Linked DNA regions of Daphnia pulex. The protein of the gene in region 1 purifies or fractionates together with the protein of each later gene. This does not show direct contact. Links are inferred from orthologs where the notes say so. Each region holds a gene or a part of one and is shown in the gene's direction. Other genes may lie near its edges. The genes, in order: negative elongation factor E-like, negative elongation factor D-like and negative elongation factor A-like.

What was found.
Region 2: the proteins of negative elongation factor E-like (region 1) and negative elongation factor D-like purify together in Homo sapiens (affinity purification with mass spectrometry; 9 studies listed by BioGRID and IntAct, counting the BioPlex papers as one, with this or other methods). This does not show direct contact. The link is inferred for Daphnia pulex from reciprocal best matches to the Homo sapiens genes NELFE and NELFCD.
Region 3: the proteins of negative elongation factor E-like (region 1) and negative elongation factor A-like purify together in Homo sapiens (affinity purification with mass spectrometry; 9 studies listed by BioGRID and IntAct, counting the BioPlex papers as one, with this or other methods). This does not show direct contact. The link is inferred for Daphnia pulex from reciprocal best matches to the Homo sapiens genes NELFE and NELFA.

Annotation. Positions count from the first base shown.
Region 1 is NC_060021.1:9,950,077-9,960,183, reverse strand, and holds negative elongation factor E-like, read left to right. Parts: upstream 1-4,797; 5' UTR 4,798-4,888; coding exon 4,889-4,969; intron 4,970-5,032; coding exon 5,033-5,341; intron 5,342-5,400; coding exon 5,401-5,550; intron 5,551-5,618; coding exon 5,619-5,710; intron 5,711-5,768; coding exon 5,769-5,823; intron 5,824-6,134; coding exon 6,135-6,246; intron 6,247-6,315; coding exon 6,316-6,389; 3' UTR 6,390-6,442; downstream 6,443-10,107. Other genes in the region: protein capicua homolog, read right to left, coding at 1-1,815; serine/threonine-protein kinase SIK3-like, read right to left, coding at 7,494-8,792, 8,859-9,061, 9,293-9,499, 9,837-9,949, 10,013-10,107. UniProt on the Homo sapiens protein: Essential component of the NELF complex, a complex that negatively regulates the elongation of transcription by RNA polymerase II.
Region 2 is NC_060027.1:2,127,023-2,137,775, forward strand, and holds negative elongation factor D-like, read left to right. Parts: upstream 1-3,732; 5' UTR 3,733-3,801; coding exon 3,802-3,873; intron 3,874-3,963; coding exon 3,964-4,079; intron 4,080-4,139; coding exon 4,140-4,359; intron 4,360-4,428; coding exon 4,429-4,536; intron 4,537-4,603; coding exon 4,604-4,756; intron 4,757-4,826; coding exon 4,827-4,957; intron 4,958-5,033; coding exon 5,034-5,221; intron 5,222-5,296; coding exon 5,297-5,457; intron 5,458-5,512; coding exon 5,513-5,953; intron 5,954-6,012; coding exon 6,013-6,142; intron 6,143-6,212; coding exon 6,213-6,247; 3' UTR 6,248-6,382; downstream 6,383-10,753. Other genes in the region: uncharacterized protein LOC124207899, read right to left, coding at 1,076-1,242; 39S ribosomal protein L22, mitochondrial-like, read right to left, coding at 2,761-3,198, 3,264-3,500; RNA-binding region-containing protein 3-like, read right to left, coding at 6,383-6,563, 6,635-6,788, 6,850-7,655, 7,731-7,900; zinc finger protein 62 homolog, read left to right, coding at 8,807-9,036, 9,109-9,289, 9,355-9,592, 9,680-10,008, 10,085-10,406, 10,464-10,743. UniProt on the Homo sapiens protein: Essential component of the NELF complex, a complex that negatively regulates the elongation of transcription by RNA polymerase II.
Region 3 is NC_060020.1:1,898,163-1,908,963, reverse strand, and holds negative elongation factor A-like, read left to right. Parts: upstream 1-5,585; 5' UTR 5,586-5,742; coding exon 5,743-5,955; intron 5,956-6,057; coding exon 6,058-6,244; intron 6,245-6,313; coding exon 6,314-6,399; intron 6,400-6,469; coding exon 6,470-6,866; intron 6,867-6,934; coding exon 6,935-7,434; intron 7,435-7,502; coding exon 7,503-7,602; intron 7,603-7,673; coding exon 7,674-7,891; 3' UTR 7,892-8,356; downstream 8,357-10,801. Other genes in the region: tyrocidine synthase 3-like, read right to left, coding at 8,529-8,669, 8,741-9,065, 9,130-9,249, 9,327-9,480, 9,570-9,770, 9,871-9,967, 10,042-10,140, 10,229-10,425 and 2 more. UniProt on the Homo sapiens protein: Essential component of the NELF complex, a complex that negatively regulates the elongation of transcription by RNA polymerase II.

The DNA of each region.
Region 1 (10,107 bases):
CGTGCTGTAGCTGCCCGAGGGAGACGGCTCAACAGAGTCCCGCGAGAGCGTTTCCTCCCAGTCCATCTCCTGGCCGTCCTTGGTGAACGCCTTGTTGCCACCTGATGGGAACGTTAGGCCGCCGAGACTGGACGAGGAAGCACCTGCGCCACCAGAGGAGCGCAGGCTTTTGCCTTTGATGCTCAGGTGCCTCGAGCAGTAGCCCCTCCGCTGCGACTCCTTGTTGCAGCCCTCCTTGGAGCAGAGGCGGCGCCATTGTTTGCCGTTGAACTTTTTGCGGATGCCGCTAGGACCGGCCACAACGTCGCCCTTTTTATACTTTTGCGGCGTTCCAGTGAGAGAGCGGGCGCCCGGGAAAGGACTGGGCGTCGTCGGCTGGGAACGAGGAGTCAAACTACCGCCCGGAGACGGATCGAGTATGCTGCAACTGCTCCCGCGACTCTGCATGCTACTCCGCTTGCTTCCGCTGCTTCCGGAGAATTTGCCATCAATGCCGCCTCCCACGCCATCTGCCAACGCTCCTGGCGTCAACGAAAGCGAGCGTCCAGCCACCGTGTATCCCGATTCTGAATGGAAGGTGATGTCCTCACGTTTCAAATCTTCGTCACTCTCACCGCCGTAGTCGTACTCGTGAAAGGCGGGCCGGCCAGCGGCCTGGCTAGGCAGAAGCTCTTCACTGCCGCTGGAATGGGCGCTCTGAGTCGTCGTCACCACCAAGGCATCAGTGTTGGGATGGATAGCCTCCAGATGGACTTCCACCGGCGGACCGGTGGACGGTGGACGAGACGAGTGATAACTGTCGGCGTGCTGCTGTTGCTGGTGGTGGTGATGATAATCGACTCGGTTGACGACAACTGCTGGATCTGGCTGATAAGTTTCTGTTGCTGGCGGCGGTATGGGTACCGGCGTGGATGAAGGTTCAGGTCCGTTTTCCAACTCTTCCCACCATGGGGGTTGTAGGAGACGGAGAGACGGTCGGGTGATCCAACGCTCGACGTCCGGATTTTGTCCGATGGTCCGAACGAGGTACTGTATAGGTTTACTGGATATTTGGCAGATGACGCCTTCGACAAAGACGGACAACTGCGGATGATCGTCGACACGGAGACACACCCTGGCGCCCAGTGTCAACTGGGAAGGTGAAGGACTGGCATCGCTGACGACGTCAAATTTGCCGGCCCGAGTGACATCTGAATAGAGTGTCGGCTGCTCGTGTCCGTCCAGCTGGACGAGAACGTCACTGTGTCCGTGACCACTGCGGATGACTCCCGTCAAGTAGCGACTGCCAGATTTAGCCAGGACACGATGGCAGCGCCATTCGTTGAGATCGACGTGAGCCGCTGGAGGAGTAGCGACTCGAGGAAGAAGAACGGGAGGACTGCTGCTGCTGGCCGTCGTCAAAGCTGCTGGGATGGTGGCTACTACTACAGACGATGAGATCACCGAGCTCGATCCCGCTGCTACTGCTGCTGGCACTTGGGAAGAATGGTTGTAATGGCGAGGCGACGTCCGATCAGCCGATTGTTCGTATTCGGCCGGATCGAATTTTCGCTTTTTGGGCACGCGACGGGCTACGACCGCTGACTCGTGTTGGTTGGACATGGCGACGGCGGTTCTGCACTCGTCGATTATTGCACTGCAAGTCCCAGCCGGGTACACTGTCTGACTGGGGGGTGGTGGTGGTGGCACTAGAAGACGGGCGACAACGTCAGCCGACGAGCCGCCCACTGATTGACCCTTATGGCTAATAAGACCCTTGCCGGCGGCCGAATGCTCCTGCTTCCGTGATCTGGTCTCCACTCTCCTCTGTTGCATAGTTTAGCCATTCACGTAGCCAGCAAGCTCTCACCTCCTAAAAAATAAGAAACAGACAAGTTTTTTTAGAGTGGTTAATATATACATTGACATCACATTTATATTGAGCGTTTTGGGTGGGGAGAGAGAGAGAAATCCAACGCCATGGAAAAACATTTGAGATAAGAGAAAAAAAAAGGGGCGATAAGGGGCTCGGGTGTAACGTGGCCGATCAAAGACCGAGAAATAGAAAAAAAAATGTTGTTGCCATGCGACCACACAATATCCATATCCAAAGCACGCATCATCTGTATTCGTCGGGTTACGCACGTCGTCGTCGTCGACACTGTGTGTCTTGACAAAGGTCGGCCACAAGGCCAAAGCTCAACTTCCCACAGGGCTTTTCGACCCTGCGCCTTTCGGGCTTTGTAGTAAATGAGAAGAGGCTGTTGCACTGTGATGAATGCGCGCACCGTAGTAGTAGTAGTAGGGGAGAAAAGAGGTTAAACACAGCCCCCTCACTAAAAATAGTTAAAAAATGTGTGTTTCAGGAGCGACGTGTGGCATTCCGGAGGAAATGAAAAAAACAAAAAAGACTAACGTTCTCGCGTGTGGATTCTTTATATACATAAAACATCACGACCTAGGAATCCATCAATGGATTTTGTTTTTAGTTCGGCCATCTTGGAGAGTATAAAAAGGGAAAAATTTCTTCCGCGCCCTGGAGGAGGCTTCCACGGGTCCTTGGACTCGCTTCTCTAGCTCTTTCTCTCTACATGGTTCTTCGAGTGTACCGGTTGTCAAGGTCGTTTGCTTACGCTACACGCACACACACAGACTGAGAGAGGAGGGGAAATGGGCATCGTGAGCCAATGGGATAGCTGCCAGATACAAACAATTTATATGAAAAAGAAAAAAAAGGTGACGGGACCGGACAAAGAGAGAAGCTTGGGCTGCTGCGGTTGTGATGAAAGGCCGTGAGTTGGCAATTCATCCCGTTAGCCTTCCAAAAACATATCATAAAGGCGAATGAAAAACCTCAATTTCTATCCGTTCGACCGACTGTGACATTTTCCAACTGAAAGTTAGGGGGGGGGGGATAACAATAGTGGGCGGTCCAGTTATGTATCTCTTTTGATGTGAGAGTACTACAACAGAGTTTAAAGCAAATAATCAAGTTGTGGGCCCCACAACCGGATGCGCCAAAATGTACACCTACACACACACACACACCGATGTAGGCGTCACAACCTGTGTATGTGTTTGCTTAAGCTTTCTCCCGGCTGATAACCCCATTCCTATTGCTCACGACATTTCAAGAAAAACAAATTCAAATCTGATTGGATCGTCATATGTATAAAATATAAGATGGCCACCACGGCGAAATGGTAAAGAGATTGTCGTGTTTGAACACACACACACACACACACACAAACACACCAAGTTTAGACAAGTCGAAGAAAGAGCAGCTCAATCGAGTCAAGGCCGTCCATGGCGCCACCACCGCACACAAAACGCCAACAAAGCACACCCAATTCTCTCTCGGCCAACGAGAAAAAAATGGAGAATTTTCGTTGGGCTTTTTCGTCGTGTTAAACCAAGAAAATGGCAGCAGTTGTGTAAGCCTTACCCTCCATTCCATGGTAGCATGTGGATATTATTATTATGTGGCCAAGTAAAACGGTCGATGGCAAAACTATCGGCGAAAGAGGGAGCCACAAACACTTGCACTGCACGACGACACGGCCAGATGAAGACTGAGTGTATACCGGTTCACCAGGGCCCTATCTCTGCTGCAGGCGGAATGGCGGATGGGGAGGGTCCTAGAAATTCAGAGTCGGCGCGCGCCTACAATTCTACTACACTCGACATCTTCCAAAATAAAAACTTTTTTTTTTTCACAGAATGACCGAACTACACGCCAGTCGACTGATTTTTCAGACGCCAGCAGCAGCCCATTTCTTATTAATATGACAGGGCAGAAATTGTGTTCTTCTGATCAACAACTATGACCTCATCACACACACACACTGGCACTGTGGCACATCATTTTTTGGTCGTCTTTCTCAGTTGAATTGTTTTCCCACCATGACCGAAAATAATAGGGGAAAAAAGAACCTGTACAGGGGTTGGTGGGGAAAAAGCATTTTCCCCTTTTTACTTCTTTTCAAAAGAGGCTGGGGGTCCCCATTGTTGTGTCCAACCCAAACCAGAAGAGGGAGAAAGAACCTTACTATAATACTACTACTACTACACCGCCCACTCGATGGTTCTCCTGGGCAAGTGTCTCTACTATATTTTTACTACTATTTTGCCCTTTTTTGTGTGTCTGTGTCTACTTCCAGGGGGGAAAATGCGAGTCGAAATGGAACAAAAGAATCGTCGTCTCTCCCTAACTCGAAAGGAGAGAACCTTGAAAGTTTCTCGAATAACTCGAGGGTTGAAAAAACTCTCTAGCTAGCCGGCACTTTGGAAAATAAAAGACAGATTGCGCAACTATTGACAGTTTTACTCACCTAGCCTGTAGTGTATCGTGTTGTACTATCATGAGGCCGGCAAACGGACGGGCTCTACTACACACCTGCACAATCCATAAAAAGAATCAAGTAGGAGACAAAGGTGTGAAAAAATGTTTGTAACCTTGACACATCACCACTGTAAATTATACCTAGGCTCGTATCGACGAATGATGAGAACAGCAGCAACTGCAGATGGATCGATTTTTCATTCAAGCTACACACACACACACACACAGTCTCGTTACACCAGTTTCTCGTACTCGAATCTGTCTATTCTCTCCCCCTTGGTATACTCACGTCTGACGGCTACGGCGGCCAAGGATCGTGAATGGCTGGAATTTCCGTTTACGAGGCTCAGACACGTGACCTAAACACTTGTGATTGGATTGGTCCTTTTGAGGGAAAAAAAAATGTTCTGTTACCAGGTCCCTTGCTATTGTTATTTACGTAAGAATTCCACAGGCGACATCTAACGTCGAAATCTACAACTCGTCCTTGGGCGGCGTAAACAACAACGAAATTTAACGTTAAATTTGCAAAACGAACGAACAAAATCAAAGTCAACGCTTAATAAAATGGTTTATCTTCATTTCCCCTCCAATTTGACAGAAGAGGAATTAATGCTGCAAACTAAATATCAAAAACTTAAAAAGAAGGTGGGTTGCATGCAAATAGTATATACCTTTTACTATTTTACTAATGAAGTATACTGGAAATAGAAAAAAGCTTTGCAAGCACTGAAAGCACCCAAACCAGAACCAGAAAAAACACCTGCACTCAAAAGACCTGCAGAAGCAAGAGACGCCAGAGAAGTGGCTAAAAAGCTCTTGAAGTCCGGAGCCATTTCAGCCATTCCAAAACCTAGCGAGAAAACAGAAACTACTGGATTCAAAAGATCAAGAGGCTTAGAAAGAAAACTTTCCTCTTCTGATCGAGCACCAAGTGGATTCCAACCGTTTTCTTCAAGTCAAGGAAGTATGGTTTCTAATGAAGAACATGTCACACATGAAGCTAGAACCAAAAGCAAGGTAACAACAACACTATCCAATCCAAATAACTGTGTTCAAGCATTCTCCTTTCTGCTTAGGTTCCCAATCTCTATGAAAATTTCATTTCTTCAAGAGAATCAGATGCTGAACCAGCTTCAATTAGTCCAACAAACCCCAAAGAAACACCTACCTCTCCTGCCATTTCTCCAGTGAAGCACCAGAAACCTACAGTGGGGCACACAGTTTATGTAATCATTTCTTGGCTGTAGATTTTTGATGAAATGTGTTGATTAATCACATTGTTTGCCATTTTTAGGTGTTTGGCTACAGCATTACAGAAGAAATCCTCAAAAAAGCTTTCCAGTCTTTTGGAAATGTTGTAAACATTTCAATGGAAATTGAGAAAAAGTAATATCTTCTATTAAAGCAAACAGTAGCAAAATATTAAATACCTTTTTGTTCTCAGTTGCGGGTTCGTTACGTTCGACAAAACAACTTCAGCAGACAGAGCCATCAGTGAAGTATGTATAGAGAATTCCCTTAAAAAATCTACTCCTCACTTTTGCCTATTTTACTAAAATAGACAAACAAAATCCTGTGGGTTTTAAATGCTTTAGTAGTTGACCAAATCGTAATGGGAATTTTTATACCAAGTTTCTTGCCCAATATACCTAGTGGGAACTTTTGGCTCGTAGTAAATTTATTTCGAAATTTAAAAAAGGCGTTCCAGGTTGTTAAGCGCACCAGATTCTATCGTCACTAAAATTTCCCCTATGACGAATGTAATAATGATATACACTGCCATTGTTTTTCTTTTGTGACTGAATACTAGATGAATGGTAGCATGGTATCCGGTATTCAACTAAAAGTGTCACTCGCAAGGCGTCAACCTGTCATCGAACCTATAAACGATGCAACATCATCCGCTACGTGGTCCACAATAGGTTAGCCTTATTTTATTGAGCTTTCTAGTTTTGATGAAATGTCATTTATTTTTGTTTTCTCCATTTCAGCGGCTCGCAATTCTCAGAAAGGATCCTATAAAGATAAGCGCGATTTAGTGACATATGAAGAGGAATTGTTTTAAAAAGTAAATCATCACAGTACAGGCGGTTCTATGTAATTGTAATTTTCTCGTGGTGGATGTACAGTGATATTTCATTTTACATAAATTTCCCATCAGAAATACATGGAAAAAAACAAAAACAAGTTTTATTTTTAGACGGGCACCAAACGAGAGAATATTTAGCTTCCCGGATCAAATCTCTTTTTTTTAATTCCCCCCAACATTTATATACGATAAATTGCCTCTTTCCATCCCCTTCGCCCCCATTCCAGAAAAGTAATTTTACCTTGAAACGATCATAACGACGTAATAATAACATTAGACTCTTCGGGGCATTGCAAACGGAATTCTGTTTGTTGTTGAGTAATCACATAGACAGCGGAATGCGGTGTGCGAAGGTGAACGATTTTCCCGACGTTCAAAGTGCATAAAGTATTGATTTTGAAAGAATATTATGGAAAGAGGGGACAAGAATCTAGCTCCATTTGTCAAGCGATACGTATGGAAGGGGAAAAATATATCTCAAAATCGACAGACGCAGACCTATTAGCTTATAACAGATAAATGCTTTGCGTAAATGTCTGCAATCATGTCTCAATATGCGTTCTGATTAGAGACGTTCATGAATATCGTGCAACAGAAAAAAAATCAACGGAAAAAACAAAATAAAGTCGCAAATTGCAGGCCCTGCCTTTCAGCAACTAAAATAGACGATCGTTAAAAACTTAACAGAAAGGTGGGAAATGTAAAGACGGGGAATGTCCTGTCATATCACTGGAAAAAATGTTAAAAAAACAAAAAAACAATGATGATGATAAGAAAACAAAATTAGGTAACACACACGGCTCACTCAAACTGGTTGCTTGCGACTAGCACGGTTTCAGAGACGACATTTGACAACGCAGGCACGCACGCACTCGCATACACACACACAGACACACACACACACATAAACAATTGACCAAAATATACACCGCGTTGAACGCATTCAATTTCGGCTAACGATCGGAATGGATTGCAAGAGCAAGCGCGTCCAGGCTATCGTTCAAATGGATAGGTTTTGTCATTCAATCACACAAATAGAGACCACATACTCACGCGAGAGGAATAGGATGGGATTAGTTTTTACATGCTGATACAGGCAATCAGCTCATTACATATACGATCGTAACGGACATAGTCTCCCGATATACGACGGATTTTCAACCCTTTTAAACCTTCTGGGCCAGCAGGTGGGCTGACTTCGACAGCGATGTAAATGTCTTCACCGGGTCGTTCGAGTAGAAGCGCGGCATCGTTCTCCGTTTGACATTTCACCAATCCTGACGCCTTGGTGTGAATCGAGCGCTCAATCAAGGCAAAGATTTCGGCAACCGTCAACTGCGAGCAGTCGGAGGACAGCTGCACTTCGATCGATCCGCTGGAAGATTTGTGCAATTCCGGATAGGCAGACATTGAACTGATATCACCAGCCAATAATGATGACGAGAGCACGTCGTTCTGAAGATTCTGCAAACCCACCTGACGACAGGTGCCGTTCTTTCCGCTCAGATGAGCATAGACGCTCCATGACATGTCAGTCACTTCGCCCTGCTCATCCGTAATGGAGATCTGAGGGTGAGGCGGACCGGTAAATATCGGCTTTCTTTCCACCTCTTGTTGGCACGTCCATTCGTTATCGGTTCGATTTTTAAAATTTCTAACACTCAAATCCAAAGCCTCTTCCGCTGGACTGATATCGCCTTCGATCGCATCCGATTCCATGTCCTCCACTTCAATCATCCGATTCACCGGTGTTCCTTGAGTTATGGACCCGCCTGCAAACGTTGAAATCGGCATTAACGTTGGGGTTTGATTAGCGAAGACGTCCAGATTATTTGGCACTGTCGGAAGATTAAATGGAGTTCCTTGAATGATGGAACCTCCTTGGACTCGTGGCATCGCAACCGAGTTCTGAGAATTTTCTATGTTGAAGAATCCTAGTGTAGGGGTCGCTGACCCAAGAGATCCTTGAGACACAATTGGCGTTCCTTGAACGATTGAACCCATCGGCCGGCCCGTACCTTGCACTATGGACCCGCCACTGTTGTTTCCACAACAACCAGACAGGACCCCGCCGACGGGCGGAGACTGGCTGTACGACTGTAATAAGGAGGACTGCGGTGGTGGCGGTTGCTGCTGCTGTTGTTGAAGTTGCAACTGCTGGAGATGCTGAGAAAGATTACCACTTTCACAACACATGTGATTCAGGTAGTGCGGTGAACCGATGGCACAGAAATCCGAAGATACTGGTGATGTCGACGTGGGCGGTGGCGTTGGAGTCATTCGCGGAGACATTTGCTGTTGCTGCAACTGTTGCCGTTGTTGTACGTGAATAGCATGTCGCATCTGCATATCGTTAGTATTGCTGCTTACCATCTGACGCTGAAAAATGAAATGAAACTTGTATAGGATACGTGGAACGGACATTTAGGATTTTAATATAAATACTTGTAAAGCTTGGTATTCTTGATGTACAGCTTTAAGCTGAGACGCAGAGGAAACATTGCTGGATGCGGTATTCGGATCTTCACCATCCCTTTCTGACATTCGATACTGGCCAATCGAGGCACATCCGTCACTTGCTCTTCGTGGATGCCGATCCGATGGCAACGTCAACACATTTGTATCCGCTCTGGCCGAACAGTCACGACCTGAGTAAAATGAATGTGGGGATTAAAAACTGGAGACGAACAACAACAATTAGTTTAACGATGAATGTTAGAAAAACATTGAGGCGATTTCTAAGTGAATAACAGACAAGGGTTAAAACAACATAAATACATATGAATCAGGCCAGTGTGTACTGTTTCATTCATGATGCAAAACTGAAAACTAATTTTAGCCTTAGTCTCCAGGATAATACTCGATTTAGAGAACAATACCTAACATGGGACCAGCCCGTTCCACTACAGTTGCCAGTCCTGTACGTCGACTCTTTGGGGGACGAGCTTGAGTATTTGGAGGCACACCTACACAGTTATTCATGCTCATGCTTGTAGAAGGAGTGGGGTTGCCTGGAGTGAGACTAGGCGGCGTGTACGGGAGGTGGTTCATTCGAGCTTCAACTTCATTTATTAGCTCAGGGATCACTAAGAGTATTTTAGAATCGAAATTCAAAGGAAAAGGGGCAAAAACAAAAGTACACGTCCAGCATAGCGAGAAGAAACGAAACGGAAATGAAGAAGGGAAAGGGTAGAGGTAAAAAATGCAAATAAATTAGAATAATGAACAAAATAATAAAATAACAAATTTTAAATAAGAAAAATGCTTCTACAAAATTGTAATTACAGAAATAAATAATAAAAATAAATTTGTAACAGGCAGTTTCAAGACTAAAGCCAGTTAAATGATAATTTAAATAACAAGCAATCTTTAAATAACACAAAAAATAAAATAATCTGCTCGAAATTTGAATGGGCCACCTACCTAATGGTCGATGCATGGGCATCAAACCCTGTTTACGCATTCTGGGTTGGATATTTTGAGTCTGTTCCTGATTAGCCATTGGTAAGGTATGCCTCTTTCCTCTGTGTATATACCTTTAAACGTCAATTTAAAAATTAAGTGTATATGCAAATTAGGAGATGTACAACACCAAATACCTCGACAGTTCCCCCGAATTTGAAGAATCCTCCAGTTGTTCTGTAGCTTGACTTCCTTGTGCAGCATGAGACGAGGTGGAAGGGTTGTTTATGGC
Region 2 (10,753 bases), on another chromosome or scaffold:
AAGTCACTGGTGTAGTAAATAAAAGAAAATTCAAAGAGGACGTAAGTCTAGTGGGTTGGAGGAGCGCCAAGGTCTACACACAAACGGCTCGACAACTACCGAGTTGCCGATGAGGAAGCGCCGTTGTATTATGTGTATACATATGGAAGGATCGCGTGATTAGAAATTGCTATACCAAGAACAAAAAGAATAAAACTATCCGGATATCCAGTTGTTTTTCTTTTTTGCCAAAAGTCAGACAAGACCGGCCTTATTCAAATATTACTTTATGCAAATTTTCTTCCTACTTTTTTTCTATTCGCGAAAAACTTTACTACATTGAATTTTGTTTTTATTGTCTAGCAAATACTTTCAATATGTCGAATTTTTTGTCAGACAAAACTGCCGCAATGTCCCGCATCGTGCGCTGTCTCAATGACATGAAGTTTGCAGATTTGTTTGAAGGCACGGTTTGCTAGTTGTGCGTCACTTTATTATTATGACGCCTACTATTCTGGAACCTCCGTAAACATGGGGGGGGGGGCTGCATAGAATACGTAACGAGGGGAGGTTGGATGTCTAGTGGACTTGTGACACGAAACTGCAGAGTGTGCTAATTTAAGCGCGCGCTAGGATACCGTACACACAGGTCCCTCCTCTACTATACAAACTTGCCAACGTGGTGTTTGCTCTCTTTCATGCCTGTGCTCACACAACGGCTCAAAGGTCAAAGTCTCACCATCAGCACCTATTTCAACAAACCCAATGCACTTTTTCTTCTTCTTCTCTCCTTTAGATCCTTCCCGCGACTATCAAGTGGCTAAAAATAGCAAACGTCAATGAAACTTTGCTTATCAAATGTGTCATCACAAATATTAGCAGAGTGACATTTCGTGTACGTTTGAGTGCTCACTTTGAGTGCTCGTTTCATCGGACCGACTAATGCAAGACAATTAACTAATCGAATCTTGTTTTTTTCTTTTTTAGGTTTAGGCAAAAATTGGGAGGCTTGTTGTTGGCACCGATCGGTCGATATTTGAAAGGACTGGACGCGCATGGAAAGGTGTCAAGGTAGAAGCAACTTAGACAAACTCACCTGTCTTTATCGAATGCTTTGAAGCAGGCCTCCATGTTTGCTAGAAGAGTGTCGTCGTTGGTGTCGTCGACGGCTGGATGTTGTTGATCCTGATCCAGCAATTGAGCCAACTGTCCTTCGTCTGAGGCGATCAGGTCACTGCTGCTGCTACTGCACGGTTCGGCCATTCGAGCGGAATAGAGGCAGCCAAGGCAAGGCTAAAACCTTTTTGCCACGACTTGAGTAAATAGCTTCGGGTTGCTTTGGTAACCGTGGCACACGGGACAGTGCGGTCTTGTACGTACTAGCACACAGACGGGTTGTAGATATATTATTATAGGCTGTGCGCGCCAGAACTTGTCCCATTTCTCTCCCGACTTCCTTGTTCTCCTTCCCGTGACAAGCCCGTGTACACACAAAAGTTGATCCCCTCATAAAATTATCGAGATTATACAGCCATAATTGAATCAAATGTTGCAATCGCGATAAAATAGCTCAAACTTCACGAATCAACTGGGAAATCGAGTTGGGCGGGGACGCTTAGCATATCCTCGGTAGATCTATTCATTTCTTTTGGGTTTTTAAAATGGACTTGGAAATATTAACGTAACTAACATTTCTATCCATCCATCCGGATGGTATACTTTATTGTGATTGAATTGCCCCAAGCACGATTCTCCCCTTTACATTCTATGCCCAGTTTGACAACACGAACGCTGTCACGACTCGCCAGATGGCAATCAACGGGATTCGAGAAAGAAGACTAATGCTAACGTATATACACACACACACACCCCACCTATTTGTTTTGTTAGACTTAGATTCCCACCCTTTCGACGGCCTGAATTATATATGAGCGCCTCACGGGGGTCATAGAAAAGGGTAACACAACAACAAAACAGTACTACTAACCCCGAACTTTGTCGTCACGTCCTGTACAACTGCTGACTGGCTCCCACAAAATCGATTGCATCATCATCGTAATTATCTTATGCTTTTGAAAATGTGTGACGACGATATGCAGAGACTTGATACGATGAGTTTCTTACGTGATATTTGGCTTAAAGTAATGAGTTTGCGGATAGATTTCGCGGCATAGTATAGTCTCGCTTTTTTATTTTTATTTTACCTGATGTCAGTTTTAACAGTTGCTCCTCTGTCGTTTCTCACAGCGTGGTGTTAAACAAGAAGAAAGATTTTCACGGCTGGCGGCGCGACTCTACAGCACTACACTATTACTTTTGTAACCGAGTTGTGTTTTTTTTTTAAAGAACTTGCACAGAACGGACGAATCAATACACGCCAAAGTTGAACAAAATATATGACGGAATTTTCAGTTTTCACCGGCAGCCTGAACTAATGACGACGAAAGTAGAACGCAACTTCCGGTGCATCCATTACTGTCACGATTTCACACATTTCTTTTATAATGACGAGCGCGGCAGTGTACGATTTAGCAAAATTTTTGCAAAAATAATTTTTTAATGGAATTATTGAAATTGTTTAATAGAAAAAAGGAGTATTTTATAAAAGAAATATGAAGCATAATTTTTCACATAAAATGGTTCAAACGGATTTTTTCATCTAGAAAATCGTGCCCCGCACTTGAAACGCTAAAAGTTAAAATTTTGATAGAAACTTAACCAGAAAATGGAATTAAACATGTTTTTATTCATTCAACTATAAGAGACCAGCACTTGGGAGAACTATAATGAGAGAGGGATTCTCCTCTGCCTCATTTCATCAACCCATTCAGATAACAATGTTTTGGTTGTTTTAGGTACAGTCTCCAAGTAGAAATGTTGAGGAGGTGTTCCTTCTTCTAAGCGGACAAAGTAATGAGTGTGGAAGTAATGTATTACTCCAACTCTTCCTTTGGCATGCCTGCGAACACCCTTGTAAACAAGTCCCTTGGTAGCAAAAGATTCAGCTACCCACAAATTACTTTTAAACTCAACATTGTGTTTCTCCACAGCAAGCTTCTGGGCCTCCAACAAGGCTTCTTTTACATGGACAGCTCCTAGCTTATTCACGAAGCTAAGTTGTTTGAGAGCTTCATCAATGGACATCCCTCTTATCATTGATGCAACATACCACATCTTAAATGGGCTATACTTGATGTTGGTCCTCATGTGGCAAACATACTGCAAGATTTAAATAGTTCAACTTATTGGTTTTTGCTGAAAAAAGGAAATGCTCAATAACTTACTGCTGGTCTTCTTTCCTCTCCAGGTAACTGTGGAGGAAACATTTTCTTATTATAGATTGGCCATTTTTGGGGCCCTTTTTGCTGCTGTGCCATTGAAACATTTGTTGTGTGGAGCAAAGCTTTGCCAAAAGTTTCATTGACTAAAGATAAAGAAGTGGCATGATTAATTGCTGGTTGAAAGCTTTTGCAAATGGAAAGCAAGTTTCTGTTTTGAAATTGTCTTAACAAAAACTCCATTTTCCTGCAATAAAAATATCAATAATTAGAACAGAAATGAAAATACATTAGGATTGTTATTATTTACCTAGTTTAATATGTTCTTTTGAAGTTTTTTGTTAGACTGGACTTGTGCAAATGGATGGGAGAAAAATAATAATTCTGATTGCAGACGAATCTTTAAGCAGACGCCGCCTGACGCGCTCGTGACGCTTGTTGTTATAATTTGAACCCGTCGTTTCACATCAGGTTTATTAGATATTTAACTCGTGTGGTTTGATCGAATGAAACAGTTACTGATTCCGTAAAATTTGACTTGGAAATGGATGACGGCTACGATAATCAAGAATGGGGAGAAAGTTCGGGAATGAGAGGGGATTCCGAGATGGGAGACGTAAGTTTTACATGTTTCAGTTGTTTTCTTTACATCAGTAATACTTTACTTTAAGTGGTTTGGTTAATGAATATTTGTATTTTCGTGTAGTCTGACAATGAGGACCAGTACATGGAAAATCCTGCAGAAGTTTTAGAAGAATGCCTTCAAACGTTCAAAACACAGGACTACATCATGGAACCCGGCATTTTCAATCAACTGAAAAGGTTACTATTGTCATTTCCACTATTGACGAAAGAAGCTAGATTGATGTTTTTTTCCTACAGGTACTTTACAGTTGGTGGAAGCCCAGCCCATGTCATTGAACTACTCTCCCAGAACTACTCTGCCTCAGCACAGATGGCTAATCTAATGGCAGAATGGCTCATCTTAGCTGGGGCAACTATAAATGATGTACAGTCAATGGTAGAAAATCACTTGAAAGAAATGATCATCAAAATGTTTGATCCAAAGAAAGCTGATACTATTTTCACTGAGGAGGGAGAAGTAAGATAACACATATTTCAAACTTAAGATTTTCCTTCAGTATTTTCATTCATCCAATTATTTATTCAGACACCAGCTTGGCTTACTGAAATGATTGAACATCCCACCTGGAGATCACTGGTTTATAAACTGGCTGAGGAATATCCTGATTGCCTTATGTTGAATTTCACCATTAAGGTATTGATATCCATTTTATAATATGTATAATTTTCGTAATTGACGAATTACTTTTGTAAATTCGTAGTTGATTTCGGATGCAGGATTTCAAGGTGAAATTACGAGTATATCAACTGCAGCTCAGCAAATCGAAGTGTTTTCAAGAATTTTGAAGACTTCGGTTGGCCAGTACTCAGAAAGTAATGATGACGACAGGCAAAAACACATACAAGAATGCGCTGTAAGTAGACATGATTATTCGAATGTTGCAATATCGAAGTTGTTATTAATGCTCTGTCAAATTTTGACAGCGGATGATTTGTCATGGGCAACATACTTTCGTGTACAGTGAAGTACTGTTAAATGTTTTGTCTCAAGAACCTAAAGGAGGCCCTTCAATCAAAAGACTATCACAAGAAATTACCCGTCACGCGATTCAATCGTTAGTATTTAAATTCCACTAGGCCATTTTTTTTAGATGGAACAATAATGTCATCAAATGCTTTATCATCGGACAGGGGTCACAATGTCACTGCCATTATTATGGGTCTTAATGGGTCAGCGGCGCATCCGCGTGCCAGTCAAGCTTTATCCTCAATGCTCTCTCGCAACGCTTTGAATCCAGCCGATATCACGAATTTGTATAAACTGTATTCGGCAACCGATCCCCCACCGGTGGAGTTGATCCGTTTACCTCAGTTTATGGGTATGATATTATTCTTGTTTCGTGCGATTGTAAAGGCTAGAAGATTTTGATTTTTTAATTCACGAATTTTTGTAGAGCTGCTCCTCGATTCACTGTTTAAGCCTGGAGTGAAGCTCAATCCTGAGCACAAATCAAAATACAACTATCTCCTTGCTTACGCTGCCAGCGTGGCTGAAGTGTACAAAAAGAATCAAAGGAAAAACACGAACCGAGATGAATTAAAGGCCACCATGCAGGTATACTGTTGTTAAAAATGCCAATCGGAAAAGCTAAATAATGTTTATTTATTAGGCACTCGAGAAGGCTCATCAAGTTTGCACGACAGCAAAAGGATCAACTGAATTAATAGCTGAGCTTGGAACTCTGTATCAGTACATCCGTTTCCCTGTGGTCTCTATGGGCGTATTTCGCTGGGTAGAAGCGACTGTGTTAGAGCCCTCCTACTTTAAGTTGAGCACCGAACACACCCCTGTTCATTTGGCGCTTCTCGATGAAGTGGCCGCCGTGAATCCTTTGCTCCACTCAAATATCCTCGACTTGCTGGTACGACTTTTCGAGTCGAGACAGGATGAGTTGGAGATTCTCGTTCAACTGGAAATGCGTAAAATGTTACTTGATCGTATGGTCAATTTGTTAACGCGTGGTTACGTCGTCCCTATTGTCAAGTACATCAAACAGTGCTGGCAAAGAGGTGACACGGATATTTCACTGATTCGGTACTTCGTCACAGAGGTAAATGCCAAACACCGTACCTTTGAAGTTCCTGTAATAATTTGAATATGATTCCCAAGGTACTTGAATCGATTGCCCCACCCTACACATCCGAGTTCGTCCAACTATTCCTTCCGATGGTTGAAAATGAAGAAATTACTGGTACAATGCGTGGCGATGGTGACGGTGACCTCGTCTCTGATTTCATAGGTATTTATAACATTTTCGACGGGATTTGAATCCTTACAAGTATTCTTAATGAGGCATTCCATTTTTCTAGTGTACTGTAAGGCCAACTACGTCGTGGTTTCCTAATAAAGCGTTACCAATTGTTGGATGTTGCGACTCATAAAAACAAACAGTTTCGCTCGACGCGGATATCACTTCCAATTTGTTTTATTTTCATCCTTTCTGTGCTCATAAAAATAAATCGACTGAAATTGCTGATAATCAAGTGGTACTGCCCGTAGTGTTGGCCTGTGCTGAGCGTGCAAAGTGAACAACCAGAGGTTTGCCTTGAAGCATCACCCAGTTGGTATCGTTGAGGGCTTCCTTTGCTCGATCTACATTTGGAAGGGTGATGAATGCCTGACCCTTCATCCTACCTTCGGTCATTAGGCGAATGTCGAACCTAGATTTAAAAGATTAACTACTTAGCTACTCGTGTCAAACATCTGTTTTATGTTTTGTTTTTATTCTTACATGTTTCGTTCTTCTTCTGACGTCCACAAGACATAACGGCCATAGATGTGCTTCAGGTCGGATTCTTTTACGGTTTTAGCCAAGTTCTTCACGTAAAGTCGTGAACTAGGAGCACCAGCCGAATAATTCTTGAAGACAGGAAGAAGTTTGATCTCTGTAAGGTGCAAAGCTTTTTTTAAAATGTTCATTGTTTATTAACATGATAAATTTCTAACCCTCATCTTGAAGTTTGTTTATCTGAAGTTTTCTTCTGGAGATAAATTCGTAATCTTCTTCCTGATTTTCTAGAGCTTCACTTTGCTGTTCATTTTGGCTCGGAGGAAGCGGAGCAAATGTTCCGAAACTTTCTGTTGTTCCTTGTTGCGCTTCGGTTGACTGATCACTTTTGGCATGAAGAACTTCTGAAGATATCTTAAACTCAAGTTTCTTTGCTGAACTTATTTCTTTCTGTTCAAATATTTCTGAAATAGTTTGAACAGTTGGCAATGCAGGTTTCACTTTAGCAGGAATCACTGCTGTTGATGGGTTGATAAGCATTTTCAGCTTGTTAGGCCTTTTCAATGGTTTAAGCTTCTTATGTCTGACAGCTACATCAGGAATGACTTCTTTTTCTCCAGGTATAGAAGAATCAGTTTCCAATTCTGATTCTTCTGTATCTTCTTTGTACAACTCTTCCATTTCAACTTCTTCAATATCAGATGGTTCAACTATAACAACAGGATCTTTTGGCACTTGCAGGAAAGGTGGAGGTAAGTTAATACTCTTCATGAGTTGTAAAACTTTGTGATAAAAATCATCATTTCGTAGAAGTTCTGCTGCAATATTGTTCACTATCTGTTCATTGGCAGGAGGATACTTAACACCATTATTCTTGCCAGCTGGTTTCGGTGCTGGTAGGTTCATCTGAGGAATGTCTGGCAAGATTGTGAAGTCTGCATATTCTGCAACAATCCTCTTACCTACCACCTTCAGCTGATGCAAGCGAGTTAGTGCAAATGATGCATCCTCATGTGAATTGAACCTTTTGCATCATCAGGTTGAATGAAGAAAACAAATTATTTCTTTCACTTGAATTAGTATTTTATATCTAACTTACTTGACAATAATAGTGCTGTTCCTTTGCCTTCCCTTTGGTGTTTCTTTCCTCACAGCTTGAGCACCAAAATATCGGAAAAGATCGTTCAAATCTCGCTCTGTTAGACATTCCGGTAGACGGCGCACGATCAGTGTATCGGGGGTATCGGGCAATGTAATGCAAGGTTCCATTTCTACTTGTCTATTTGACTACGACTTTTACACTCTCTATTAGTTGATTACTTCACTGTAACTCTTTCGAGTCTCTTTTTCTTTTCAATCAGTGCTTACAATTTGCCCTTGATAATTCCAAACGGATGTTCGTGACTCAACAAGCTGAGGTAAAAACTTGTGTGATGATTTCTTCGAATGAAGCAATAACCGAAATCAATAGAGCAACCATAGAAATGTTGAAGAGGAGATGAATTCGTAGTCCAGTTTACTCTTGTATTTCCGGGCGCAACAAGAATAATCTTAAGAAAGAATTGGTGGCGCTGATGTTGTTAATTTCTAAATTTTCCATTATTGCTGTTTAGGGCTTTTTCAGAGTCCCGTTCTTTACAAGGCGTTCGTTGAATCAAGTAGTAATCTTACCGGTTATATTGACATTCATCCATCACGCACTTACTGCCCTGTACCCTGGGTGTTTTATATCATTTTGAAACGTGGCATATCTATTGAAAACCAAAACACATCATTTGATCATTAAATTCGTTTTGGTAGGTTATTCCATTTACATGGAGGGCGTTTCTACTTTCAAAAATAATAATCGATGATATTGTAATGAATCTACGACTACGATGTTATTGATGCAGTTTATTCGTACGAAAATGTCTACGTGCTAGATCATATGTAGACCATTTTGCGATAAAGAGTTTTCGGAGAAATTGTTTTTGATACTAGAGGTCCTTTCTTTCTTTCTTCTAGGAATTCTGGCTAGTAATCTACACATGTGTTGATTTCTAAAACTTAATGTTGGTGAATTTTCAATGTTTGCATCAGTTTTTTCTATTGAATTCATCAAGAATCTTTTTGTAGATAGTTGTGTAATCCCATATTAATATCTTATCATGTTTTTCAATAGGTTGATTCTGCAGAATGAAGAGTACAAGAGTATTAATTCGAGCAAAGGGACGTGGCCTATGCATTGAAAGAGGGTTGTATGATTGTCTTCAAAAGGAATTGTTTGCTGATGTCACACTTCACTGTGATGGAGGAAAGATCCGGGCAAATAAAGGTGTCTTGGCTGCTGCCAGCCCAGTTCTTTGCCATCTTCTTAAGGATTGGCCTTTAACTGATGATCCTTGTGTTATCATGGCTGGCTACACGTAATATTTCAATGATCAAATTTATGTTTTTTTTTTTAAATGTTTTTTCATTCTCTTTCATGAAATATGCAGGTTAGATGAGGTACAAGGACTTATTCGCTACATCTACACAGGGCAACTTTCTGCACCCAGGATTCAAGGATCATCCTGGGAAAAGATAATTGGAGATTTCAAAGTGGGATCTCCTATAGAGCATGATGATGATTTAGCAAGCATACATGAATTGACTGATTATGGTGATGCCTCACCAGTGGTAAAGAGTTCTTTCTTTCTTTTACTTAAAGTATAAATTAATATGATGATTACTTTTTTTTTTAGTATGAGCCTGAAGCTAATGGGATATGCCATCTGCAACACCCACAACACCATCCAAATCAACATCCACAACAACAAACATTTCACAGCTCGCCAGTGAAAAGTCCAGCTAAGGGTGTAGGTCCAAAAATTGTAGCCGTTACCTCCCCGCGTCCTTTGATCGTACAAGTGCAAAGCCTTACACAACCACCCATGAATCAAGGTCTGGATTCAACCAACGATGTCAACGACATTCCGAACGGTAATATTGCGTTACAAGAAAGAAAATTTCTAAGAAGTGGAAAAAAAAACCAAACAAATAATTGATTGTCGAACTTTATCTGGTTAGAGATGACTGTCGAAGAAGGAAACGGAGAACCTTCCCCTGAAGTCGCTGTACCTTCGGTAGTAGGAAGACGAAAGCTTGGACGTGGGGGGAAGGTGTTAAAACGGCTTCAAAGACGGCAACTGGAAGAACCGCGCACGTTAACAGTCGCTCCTGTTTCAGTTGCAACTCTTAAAAAACTCGCGCCTAAAAGAGCGAAGCCTTCCTCTAAATTTGCTCGGAAAAAGTACGTCTGTCCCCATTGTAATCGACGTTTTCTCACTAGAGGAAACATTAAAAACCATTTGCGGATACATAGTCGTGACAAACCCTTTCAATGCTCGATATGCCAAGTAAGCCTTCAAATCGCTGTTTTTCCTAAATCATTATTACTTGATCAATTCTAAAATCTTTTTCTTCGTCATTTAGGATTTATTTTCTTATCAAGGTGTCTATCAACGTCATTTGTTGAAGCATCGTGACAATAACGAGATTGGTGACAATGAAGTGGCTCCTATGATTGCCGATTCAATCCGCTTGGCTGACGAGATTGGTGTTCTTAATAAAACAGCAATTCATTTAGAAAATGACGAAGAGGAGCAGGAACCTAAACAGGATCCCGAAAAAGAAGAAGCAATAAGCGCCGAAAATGATGTTACGGCCGATGTCGAAGAAGAAGAAAATGCTGACTTAATGGAGGATGAAGAAGCTAAGATTGCACTTAAATTGAAAAGCAAAGCAAAGTTAGCAGGTAATATCAACTCTCACCCTTTGTAACTCAACAATAAACTATACCTACCACTTGTAGGTTCATCGAAAACCAATGTATGTTCAGATGAAAAAGTAGATAGTGATCCCAGTTTCGACGATGGTGAAGGGGGGGATGTATCAGTAAACGAAGCGGAGGTTGCGGAGTTTGAAGATGTTAAAGGGAAAACGAATCGGAAAAGAGACTCGGCTAACCCAAAAGCGAGTAAAGAAAAAGTTGCAGCTAGAGGGAAGAAAAAAAAGGAACCCAAAGCGCGAAAAGCCAACTATCATTATCAAGTTATAGAGTGCGATTTTTGCCCGATGCGTTACCACAAATGGTAACATTAA
Region 3 (10,801 bases), on another chromosome or scaffold:
TCTTTCACCTCCCACCTAACGCATTTGAATAAAACATGTTTTTCATCCTCCACATTCGGTGGGTTATTTTTCTATATTTTTTGTTTGGTTGTTTTCCCAGGGTGCCTGTTGGGCATTATTACCATTTATTTCCGATTTCTTTCTGTCTGGCTATATCGTTTGTGAAATAACGAGCAACACACAGTCGGGGATTAATAAACGGGGCAGAGTATCCATAGTATCCCATATCCAGCGCAGCACTTTTTCTTTTTGATTTTGTTTTCTTCGTCTGTTGTGCTGGCTCCCTTCCCCCAATCAAAGTCATCGTTATCGCCTCGTTCCAGCCTGCTGCCCACACGGATATTATTGGGCCCGGCCTACATATATACTGGACACCGCTTTTGTGATACAGACTGGGGGTTTGGCTTTTCTTTTAGCAATCAAAAAGCAGCAAGGTAACAGAAAATATATAAATAAGGGAGACAGTTAGGGAGAGATATTCATCCCGCGTACGCGTCCTTTTGTATAGCTACAAAAGAATATACATCGATGCACTGATTGAACAACGTCTATGTGTATATATACACACAATTGTCTGATACGATCGTGCACGGTACACTCAACACGCCAGACAAAAAACACACAGTCCCACTAACAAGGCCGTGCATTCACCATACGTCCATGGCGACAGACGATACATTTTAATGATTACGCACTTTTGGTCGTCCAATTATTTATTGCAAATATCAAACCTCCATTTTTCCTTTGATTTTCCGCAGAAGTGGAGGAACAAAGTTGAACCGGAACTGACTGCATAGGGCGGTAGCTATGTATATTTTTAAAATATTGAATTGGGAACATCCGGAGAAAGTATACATACATATTGAATCTCTTCGTGTGTGCGCACGAAAAGAATCTTCCAACATTTTGCCAGCTTCACCTCGTCTTCGTTTCCTCTGCTGCCGTGTTTACAACTAACGCAATAAAAGTGTTTCGGGGTAAGGACCTGAATGTGTATGTACGACCCAACCGGAGAAAGTATATATAAATAGAGCTGGACAAAATTGGAGACGGCCCATCACTTTCGTGTGTCAATAGAGAGAGAGCCTGCTGCCGCTGGCCTATATGTATGTACCTGTGAGTATATTATATTGGGGCGAGTCGTGAATTGTATGACAGGAAAAACGCGGATGAAATGTGTTGGGTGCAGCAGTTGCTCGGATCAAAGAAGAAGAAAAAAAACGGAAACTTGTTTGCTGCTGCGACTGGGATCGAGATCGAGTCAGATGAAACAGACGGGCAATATACTATACACGCTTTTGACGGAATAAATAAGCGGTAATAGAAGTCTGCAACCACCAAAGTCACTATGAACATCTTATTACTCTCTTATTTTTCAAAAAAATAAGAAACTGGCCCACTTTCACTCTATAGATGAAGACACTTTTGGGCCATAAATTCGTCTTGACCTTCTAATAAATCACGACATTCGCTCTGCCGCCTAAGGTTCTAGGTCTATATCTCAACTTGTATTATATACAGCGATACATAACTTGTCCTATATTAACCTCGCAACTTATGACGAGCGCGCGACGGTGATGATATTACAGTATAATACAGTCTATCATATAGCAAAACTAGTCCTGGCGTTGGTCCATTCAAGTTTGAATTCTCACGGTATTGTAACGCCGTAAGCACTGTTGAGGGCTTACACGCGGCAAATGCCGCGCCAAGTTGGTCCGACGGACATAGCCGCGCGTATAGATTAGACATTTAAATTAATAGAGTTCAAATTCTACAGCCCGACCCTCTTGGAATCTAGTCCAACCTAATGTACAGTACGTATAAAGCCTATTATATAAGACAAGCCAACCGAAAGTGCACGAGGAACAGGGAAATCATCGCAAATGAATCCTGAATGACGTTTATAATATTTTGGCTTTTAATAAGCAATTATATACAACATAGGGACGAAAACTTAAGTAGATATAATCTAATATTAATGATTCGTCTTCTTCGTTTTTCTCGAACTTTGGAGAAGAAGAAGAAAAAGAAAAACAACAGTCATGTAATATCGTTGAAACTGCTGGTTTGTATAACAAAGGTAACCACAGCAGCGGGTATATATGGCAGCACGCTGTTAGCGGGCAGAGAGAGAGCAGCATCAGCTTTGGATATTGATGCATCACTTGGCCCTGCAACGTAAATAATTGCATAGATACAAAGAAAAGTATCATCTGGTTTTCCTTTGAATCGGATCAGCAGTCCGCCCAGCTCTCTCTCTCTTTCTCTCTATGTGCATCATCCACACTTTTTTTCTTACCCCGCAGCCTAGTGCGCAGGACGCCGACAATATTATATTCCGAAATATATGTGCATACACGACACACATCTCCCGTGCTGGGCGTGCTATATATATATTATATATATATGTATGCAACGAATCAACAAGCACATTTACATGCTCGGAAGCCTTTATGTCAATACGAAAAAAGGTAAAGAATAAGACGAGCAGTGCGTCTGTGTGATGTTTGGTGGGCGAAAAGAGCGGAAAAGAGATACCGTAGGAGAGATGGTGGTGGGATCAGTTCGGGACTTGATAAATACACACGTCAGAGAAAGTTAGTATAGATTTATGTTAAATATCTAAATACTTCAGTTCTTATACAACGGAAATATTTTTTGATTTATTTATTATTTCATTCTCATTCAGCGAATAATAATCATTTCTTTGGGATTATTATGCAGGAATTTCGTATAGTTCACCGCGCGTAATTGAAATTATTTTCCCTTGGACATTATTTCGTATAGATATACCGGCGTCGCATACTCGTTAATGCACTTTCGGACTTTGGCGCTGGCTGTGCTCGTTGATGACAGTGGAGAATTGGCGAAAAACTTGTCGCCAACTCGCCTTCCCCCTCTCTTGCTGGCCAGGTCACACAGGCCCTTGCTGCATGCTGCTGGCCTATTGACATGTTTCTATAAATACGCTTACATGTGGTATATATATATATGCTATACAAAAGCCAAGGAATGAGCGATTGAATCCAATTGAACGAGAGAATGAATGGGGTGATGTGGCTCTCTCGGAGGAATCGTCTCCTTTTCAATCGACTTTCTCCGACTATACTCCCACGCATTTCACGCAATGAACGACGGACGAAAGCTGCTGGCGACCCTCTCATTCACAATAATACCCCGTCGATTAGAGCTGATATCGACAGAAAAGCTATCGCGGCTAGATATATTACGTCGTCGGTCAGAACCCACTCGAAAACGACGAGCGTGTACAGCCAACCGTGGCTATACAGCAACCGACAACAGCGAACAACAGTGAATCCGTTTGTGTTTCGTTTGCAGCTTGCTATATCCCGTCTGTTATTTTATATCCAGTCAATATCTATATCCTTTTGACTCAGCAGCGAGTCGCCTCTTCCTCATCCAGGAGTTGCACTAGCAATAAGTTGTTGGACGATGGATTTAGGTTGGCCGTGCACACCCACCGACATAATCTTATATCCGTGACGTCAAATCGGCCTCAGTGCCATATTGCCTTTGGATGGATGCGTTGAAAAGTGGTAGACGCATCGCTATTATAGATGCTATACGTAACATCCTCATTGAGACTTGGGCTATCATCGGATACAATGTGTGTACATACTTTATACATCTGAGACGGATGTAATAAGGATGAACAAGCTTTTTCATCGCCCAAACCCCCGGAAATATTTTGCCTCTACACTTTCAAGGCTCTAGCTCGACGCACAGCTCTATAAAACCAATTTCATTACATTTCGCCTGCTGAGAATGATGATGCTGTTGCTGTGTGTTACAACAGGAAGCGATAGATGTACGGCGAGCGTCAAATAACCAATCATTCGTTGCGATTGTTGGAAACGCGCTGCCAATTTCCCTAACAGATCAAATCGCTGCTGGCGGATTAATAACCCCCTTGCGGACTTAAGAATTTCAGATTTAGGAGCACTACTTCTCGCGACTAGGACAAGACGACGTCACAGGAGGAAGCTCATTTTACTATATTTAAACGATGGCCCTTTTATTTTTTTGAGGCCAGATTTTTGTGCTTTTCAAATGTCAAAATGTTGTCTCCCCCAAAACGGTTATTACATAATAGATTCTCGACTGCTGAGCCAGCAGAGTCGTTCCATTTTGGGTCTTTTTTTAAATTTAATCTGATGCTGGGCTCCTTTTGTTCAGCACTTAATTAACCACACGGACATCAGAGCGACTGAATTTCCTATTAAGAGATTCTATCGTAGCCGGAACTGTCCTAACCCAACCAGACGATATAAGGAAGAACGTCGGAAATAGATGACTTTGTTTTTCAACGTTTTTTTTGTTTTTTAATAAGCTTTTTATTTATAGAAAACTGATGTGACGTTGAAGGGGAGATGGGTGTGTAACATACATTTAAGATGAGAGCACATATTGGAGTTGAGTATTGAAATAAGTCACGGAAGGTGGTTTGGATTTGGGTGCATTACACGCTCGCACTTCATTGCGCTAATAATACTGCTGGGCCCTAATTGGACCAACGATCCTTATTAGGGGTTAATCGTGCGAATTGACCGACACAACTTCGGGCTTTCGGAGCACCGAGACCCAACTAGTAGTGAGACACCGGGAGATTTTATGGGTTACGAACTTAATGATAGGTACTACATAGTACTTAATTGAATCAAGGCGCCTGAAATCAGTTGGCGAGTTTGGAAGTGAGACATTGTATTGATTAACTGTATACACTTCATCCGTGTTGCGTTTGCGTTACATGTTGTTTGATACTTGCACTGAGTCTTAAACGGAATCAGCGTCAAGTTTGAAATTTAAAAGAAAACAAAATATTTCTATTCTAAAATGCAGGTTAGTTCTAAAGAGAAACTCGATCGCGCGCAACGAAAGATCAGATTATAACAATGGAATTTTTAATTTGTTTTCCGACTAATTCGTTATACAATTACGGTCGACATGGTAGAGCGTTGAGTACTTTTAGGACCATTCGATCACTCGACACACAATAGTTTCGACAAGAAACTATATTTACAGCTTTAGAAATGGCACATCATTTACTTAGGTCGATTAAGCGACCTCCTGACGAGTGATTCACGTCCGTTATTTGGTTGTTCGATAACGAATCATTGTAGTCTAGTCAGCCGAGTTGAACAGCAGCAACGTTTCCCAACAACGCGGTTTTGGTAAAATAAAAAAAAAGAAAAAGTCCATTCATCGCAACGCAAACAAACGCTTGTACTCAACGACAGATAATTCCGCTTGGGGAAAACCATTTTGTATTTTCTTTTTTCTTTTCTACGACCGCCATTCACAAGTCACAGCACAGCATCCCATCGAGAAACGTGACTAATAACAATATATGGCATCGTTGTGATATTTTCATCTTTGATTTTCCCGCGACCGTTTCCATCGGTCGTTCAAAATACGTTTTTTTTTTTTTAAGTTTGGCCTAACAAGCAATCGTATCAGTGGCAACTAGCCCAAATTTGCGCAACGAAAAAGATAGAGGCAGGCATGCAGCGCCCCTAGCGGCCGTTAGTGGTAAAGTAAGTTTCGGTCTCATCCGAAACTACGCCACAGTGACGCTGTCTGCATCGACATTTTCTGGCTCACAGTGAAAAAGTTGTAAACAAGTAGTGGGAAATTGGTTTGTGGGCACTGTTCCGTTCGCTGTAAGAAACCTTGTGTTTGAGAAAAGCAAAGGAAGAAAAAAGAAAAACAGGGCGGAAAATGGCGTCCAACGTGAGAGACTCAGATACGTCACTTTGGCTTCATAATAAACTTGGTATCAGCACTGATTCCTGGGCAGGCGGCTCAATTTGTTCCCAACTCAATCCCGAAGTTTTGAAGAACATTCAAGAATGCTTTGTCGAGCTGCAAACACAAGTCAAACTCAAATTTCTACTATCATTCTTCCAGTTCTCAAGGAGGAACTTAGAAGAGGTCAGTGGCCTTCATATAGTTTGATTTCGTCTTTTTCTCCATCTTGTTTGTCATTTCACTTCGTAGATTCTGAAAAGTAATCGTTTTTTATTACTTGTATAGTGGAAGACAGAGTTGGAAGAAATTTTGGAAGTGGCTGTTGTTGATGGTGATCCGTGGGTAGCCATGGTTGCTGAAATCCTCAAAACATACCCAGCCACCGGAGCCCTCAACATGGAAATTGGCTCTGCCACCGATGAATACACAAGAAAAATCTTCAACGATCTTGCAAATGATTTGAGAAAACTTGGTAACTTGGCAAAAATCTAAATTCATTTCATCGTGGCTTTTTCGTAATGGTTTTGAACATAACTTACAGTGAAAAAGCATGGAGAAACTGGAATGCTTCCTTTAGAATGCCCCTATTTGAATAAAACAGCACTGTTCACTGTTGTCGGCCAGCAGGTAACGCTCATCTCGTTTCGCGCCAAAATGGAACCTGTTACATTATATGCGATTGACTCTGCTCTTTCAGTCCCACCCCATCAAACATTTCACATTAAAGAGGAAACCCAAGTCAGCGGCGCTGCGTGCCGAGCTTTTGCAGAAATCCACCGACGCCCAAAATAACTTGAAAAAGAATCCTGCTCCTACGGTACCACTGCGCTCACGAGGAATTCCAAGGAAGATGACGGACACGACACCATTGAAAGGCATTCCTAGCCGGCACATTGGAGGATTCGCTTCGCCACTTTCGCGCGTTGGGACGACGCCCACAAGTGTCGGTGCTCTAGGATCTTCTCCGTCCGCTGGTCCCAACCGTCCGTCTCCTCGCACGTTAGCTGGCAGAAAAGATGGCGGTATCAAATTGCTGGACATCAATGAGCAGCCGATCGGATTTGCTCAGGCGAAGAAAAGAAAACGACAACAAGGTAATACGTATCCAGCTATATTTATCGAATTGCTTGTTAACGCTGTTGCCTCTTTTCCCCCCGTAAAGAACTGGAAGCTGCCCAAAAAGCAGCCACCGAAACGACGGCTACCTCTACAAATCCGGCACAACCGCTTTCGGGCGAAGAATCAGAGACGGGCAGTGTCCCCGAAACTCCCGAAAAACCTACTCCAACGCCCGACTATGCAGCTGGCCTTCTTCCGAGCAACCCGCCTCCAACCCCGGCCGCCCCTGTCACTCCACTTGCCTCCACTTCTATCCCACCTCTTACGCCGTTGAAAGAGCCGCCTAGAATGGTAGCCGTCCGTCCGCCTACTACTCCTTCAATCAGTTCTCTACCTCCAGCTTCTCCTGCCCCACCTGCCCAAGTGGTACGCCTTGTCACAGCTCAAACGGCGGCTGCGACACCTGCTGTTGCTACTACGGTGCCCACCGTTTATCGGTTGGTTCAACCAGCTGCTGCTGCTGGGCAGCCTGTCGCAGTGGCGGCAGCAACTCCCAATCAACCGGCCGCTCCACCCAAAAAGAGTGTGGCACTCATGCTCACTGTAAGTTTTAATTGTCGTTGCAGTCATGGTGAATGATTCTTTGGTAATTCAACATTTGTTTTCTATAGCGCGAGCAAATGCAAGAAGCTCAAGAAATGTTCAAGAACGCCAACAAAGTCACACGACCGGAGAAAGCCCTTATCCTCGGATTCATGGCAGGCTCTCGGGGTAACTTTCATTGGAATGATGCTGTTTGAAAACAAAAGAAATGTTCATTCTTTACTTACTGATATTTCTAGAAAATCCTTGTCCACATCTGGGAAACATCGTCACCATCAAGTTGAGCGAGGATGAGGAGGTTGTGACGGCTACCGACGGTGTCACCACCACCAGGGTCGTCGAGACGCATTTCCAGATGAACTATGCAGCCGGCGAATGGAAACGCATCAAGAAAATGAGGAAAACGGAAGAAACTCCGGCGTCGGTCGCCACCGTCATGGCCACAGCGACGGGCTGAATAGGAAACGAATCTGGTTGCAGTAGAGAGAGAGAGAGAGGGACTTGAAAATTCTGTGTAAATAGCAGCAGGATGGATGTTACAAGACAGAGGCGAGGAGAAATGAGTGCGGATGAGAAAGTAAGCCCTTCCCTCTATCCCCTACCCACCGCGTTGTTCCGACTGTGGGGCACGGGATTTATTTTGTTTTGATATATTTCGGTGCCAAAGTCGATTCAACTTGTCCCTTCTTTCCAGTTCTGTTTTGCACATTACTATTCCTTTCCCTGTTTTTCTTCATTCCTATCGATTCGACTTGACTTTCAGTCCTTATCCTCTCCGTGTCGCCCGCATCTCACAAACCAAGCTGAAGCCTTAGAGGCGGCATACTGTTCAGTATCTCAGCATTTGAAAATTGTTCATTTTTTTTCTTTCTTTCAAAGTACAGTTTTCTTGTAGTTCTCATACACACAGATCCATGCATAACATGTTCATATCATTCAAAGCGAATAAAAAAAGCGATACTCTTTGTTAAGAAAAAAAAGAAGTATGTGTATTGAAATCGTTAACAGTCCCGGTCGCTATTGGTTTACGCGACTTCCAGTTTTTGTTTTAAAATAATTTTGCGTTTGTTTAAACAAAAAAAGAAAAGGAGAATTTAGTGTATATATTTGACAGTCACTGTCGAGTATTGGGTATCGGGAGCGTGTTCAAAAGGCTTGGTCCCATCGCTAGCGATGTGTTGATTCACTTGGCACTCGAACAATACAGTATAGTCCAGTAGGTCGTCGCAAATTTGCTAAATCGAAAAGGGAAAATGAGTTGGTATTTTGGGACGAAACTTTGCCTCAAATGGATAAGTCGAGTTACTCTTGTTAGTTCGTTGGTGTTGGTTGTGAAAACACCGACAAAGCCTTTCTGTATCGCCAGCTCCAGGGTCTCTTGCTCCGTTTTCTGGATGAGTTGGATGTTCTCCAATGGACTGGAGGTTTCGGCCGTGGCCATCATAAAGCTGTGGATCAATAAGTTGGTCCGCTTTTCAAAGTGCTTGTCTCTGACAGGAGCCTCAATCGCCTCGAGAAATTCAAAGACGTACGCCAAGCGCCGGACTTTCGGTTCAACGACAGGCTCGTCAAAGAGATCGAAATTCAGGGCCACGGCCACTACTTGTCCGCTCCCGTTCCGGATAACAAAGCTGTGCGCACCCATAGAACAATCAATCAATTGGTGATGGTGTCTTTTTAAAATGGAACTTCAACCTCAAGTCTGCTGCCACTAATGGCTCCCAGAGTTCCTCCATGAAAACTTCGTAATCCTGACGACTGACGCCTGTCAAAAGTTCCAATTCGGCTTTCTCCGAGAAACTTGTACTGATAATCCTGATTAATATCGTCAAGCATTACGACATGTCGTTATTTATAAACGAAATAAAAAATAACTAAATAAAATAAAATACCTGATGACGTCTTCCTTGACTGACGGGCTCAGCATTTCGACAGTGTGATTGGATAACTGATGATCCGATGTCTTTGATCCGCAGGCCGCCTTCGATGGCAACAGTTGAGAAACCAAATCTTCCAGTCTGGAGGCGGCAAGGAATTCGGTCAAATCTGTCATGAGGTAATAGTATATGAAACGTGTGACGAAAAAGAAATCAAGCCTGTTGGTATAACGTAACGAGGTAACTAAGAGTTGTTACCTATGTGAAAGCCTTGATCCTTCAGCTTGGTTACCACATTGACAGCGTTGAGTGAATTGCCCCCGATTTCGAAAAAATTGTCCGAAAGTTGAATGGCTTTGCCCGATGACGAGCCAACGATTGAATAGACAGTTTTCAATAGGGCTCTCTCTTCGCGGCTGAACTCGTTTCCGTCCCACATAGTTAAACAACTTGTCAAATCTTTTTTTCAAAAAATACGTCAGAGAGTTTATTAGATACAGCAGTTACTAAATAGTCGATAATAAGGATGTTCAAATCTCGAGTGAACCATTTGACCTACCGTTTTGTTGTTGACGCTGATCGACGTAGAATTGCATCAGTTTCTGGCGGTCGACTTTGCCGTTGACTAACAAAGGAAGCTCGTCAATCAGTACCAGCTAAACAATCAAAAGACATTTTAATGAAATAAATACGTAACAATCAGCAAATGTAAAAGGAACTTGAATTTTACCTTGGGCATCATGTAAGAGAGAAGCTTGTCTTTCATCCGATCTTTGATGACGTCAACAGTGATTTCCTTTTCCATTGGAATGACGAAAGCTACAATTTCCTTTTAAACCCATAGAGAAAGAAGAAGAATAACGCCTCCGCTTTTTGACACTCAATTACATCACATCACGTATATACCCGGTACTTACTTGTTCAGGCTCTCCCGCTTTGTAACTCAGGACGACGCAGGTCGACACGAGCTTATTCCATTCGATGGCGGCGTTGATTTCACTTAGATCCACGCGATGACCTCGGATCTTCACCTGCGAATCAGCGCGGCCAAAGTAATAAAGCTGATCGTTGAGAATTCGGCCGAAATCGCCCGTTCGGAACATGACTTCATAACCTATATACGTATACCAATCAATCAAATAGATATTTAAGCCGAAAAAGCTTCATACACAAAAAAATAAGAATAAAAATATTTAACGGCCGTGGGCTGTAAATAGGCTCACCTGGAGTGTCATCAACGTGATTTTTCAAGAATCGTTCCATTTCCCGGTTTCGGACGTAACCCGAACACAAGTGACTTCCGGCCACATAAATCTCTCCTATCTCTCCATCTTTGATCAAATCTCTCGAAGCGTCCAGCAAGTATATGGCGCAATTATCTAATGGCTTTCCTGTGATGTGTTATGCAATCCAATATTTTATACTATAGAGTATAGCCTACCATTTTTAAATTGAATATGTGTGTTATTAATAGTGCCGTCTTACCAATG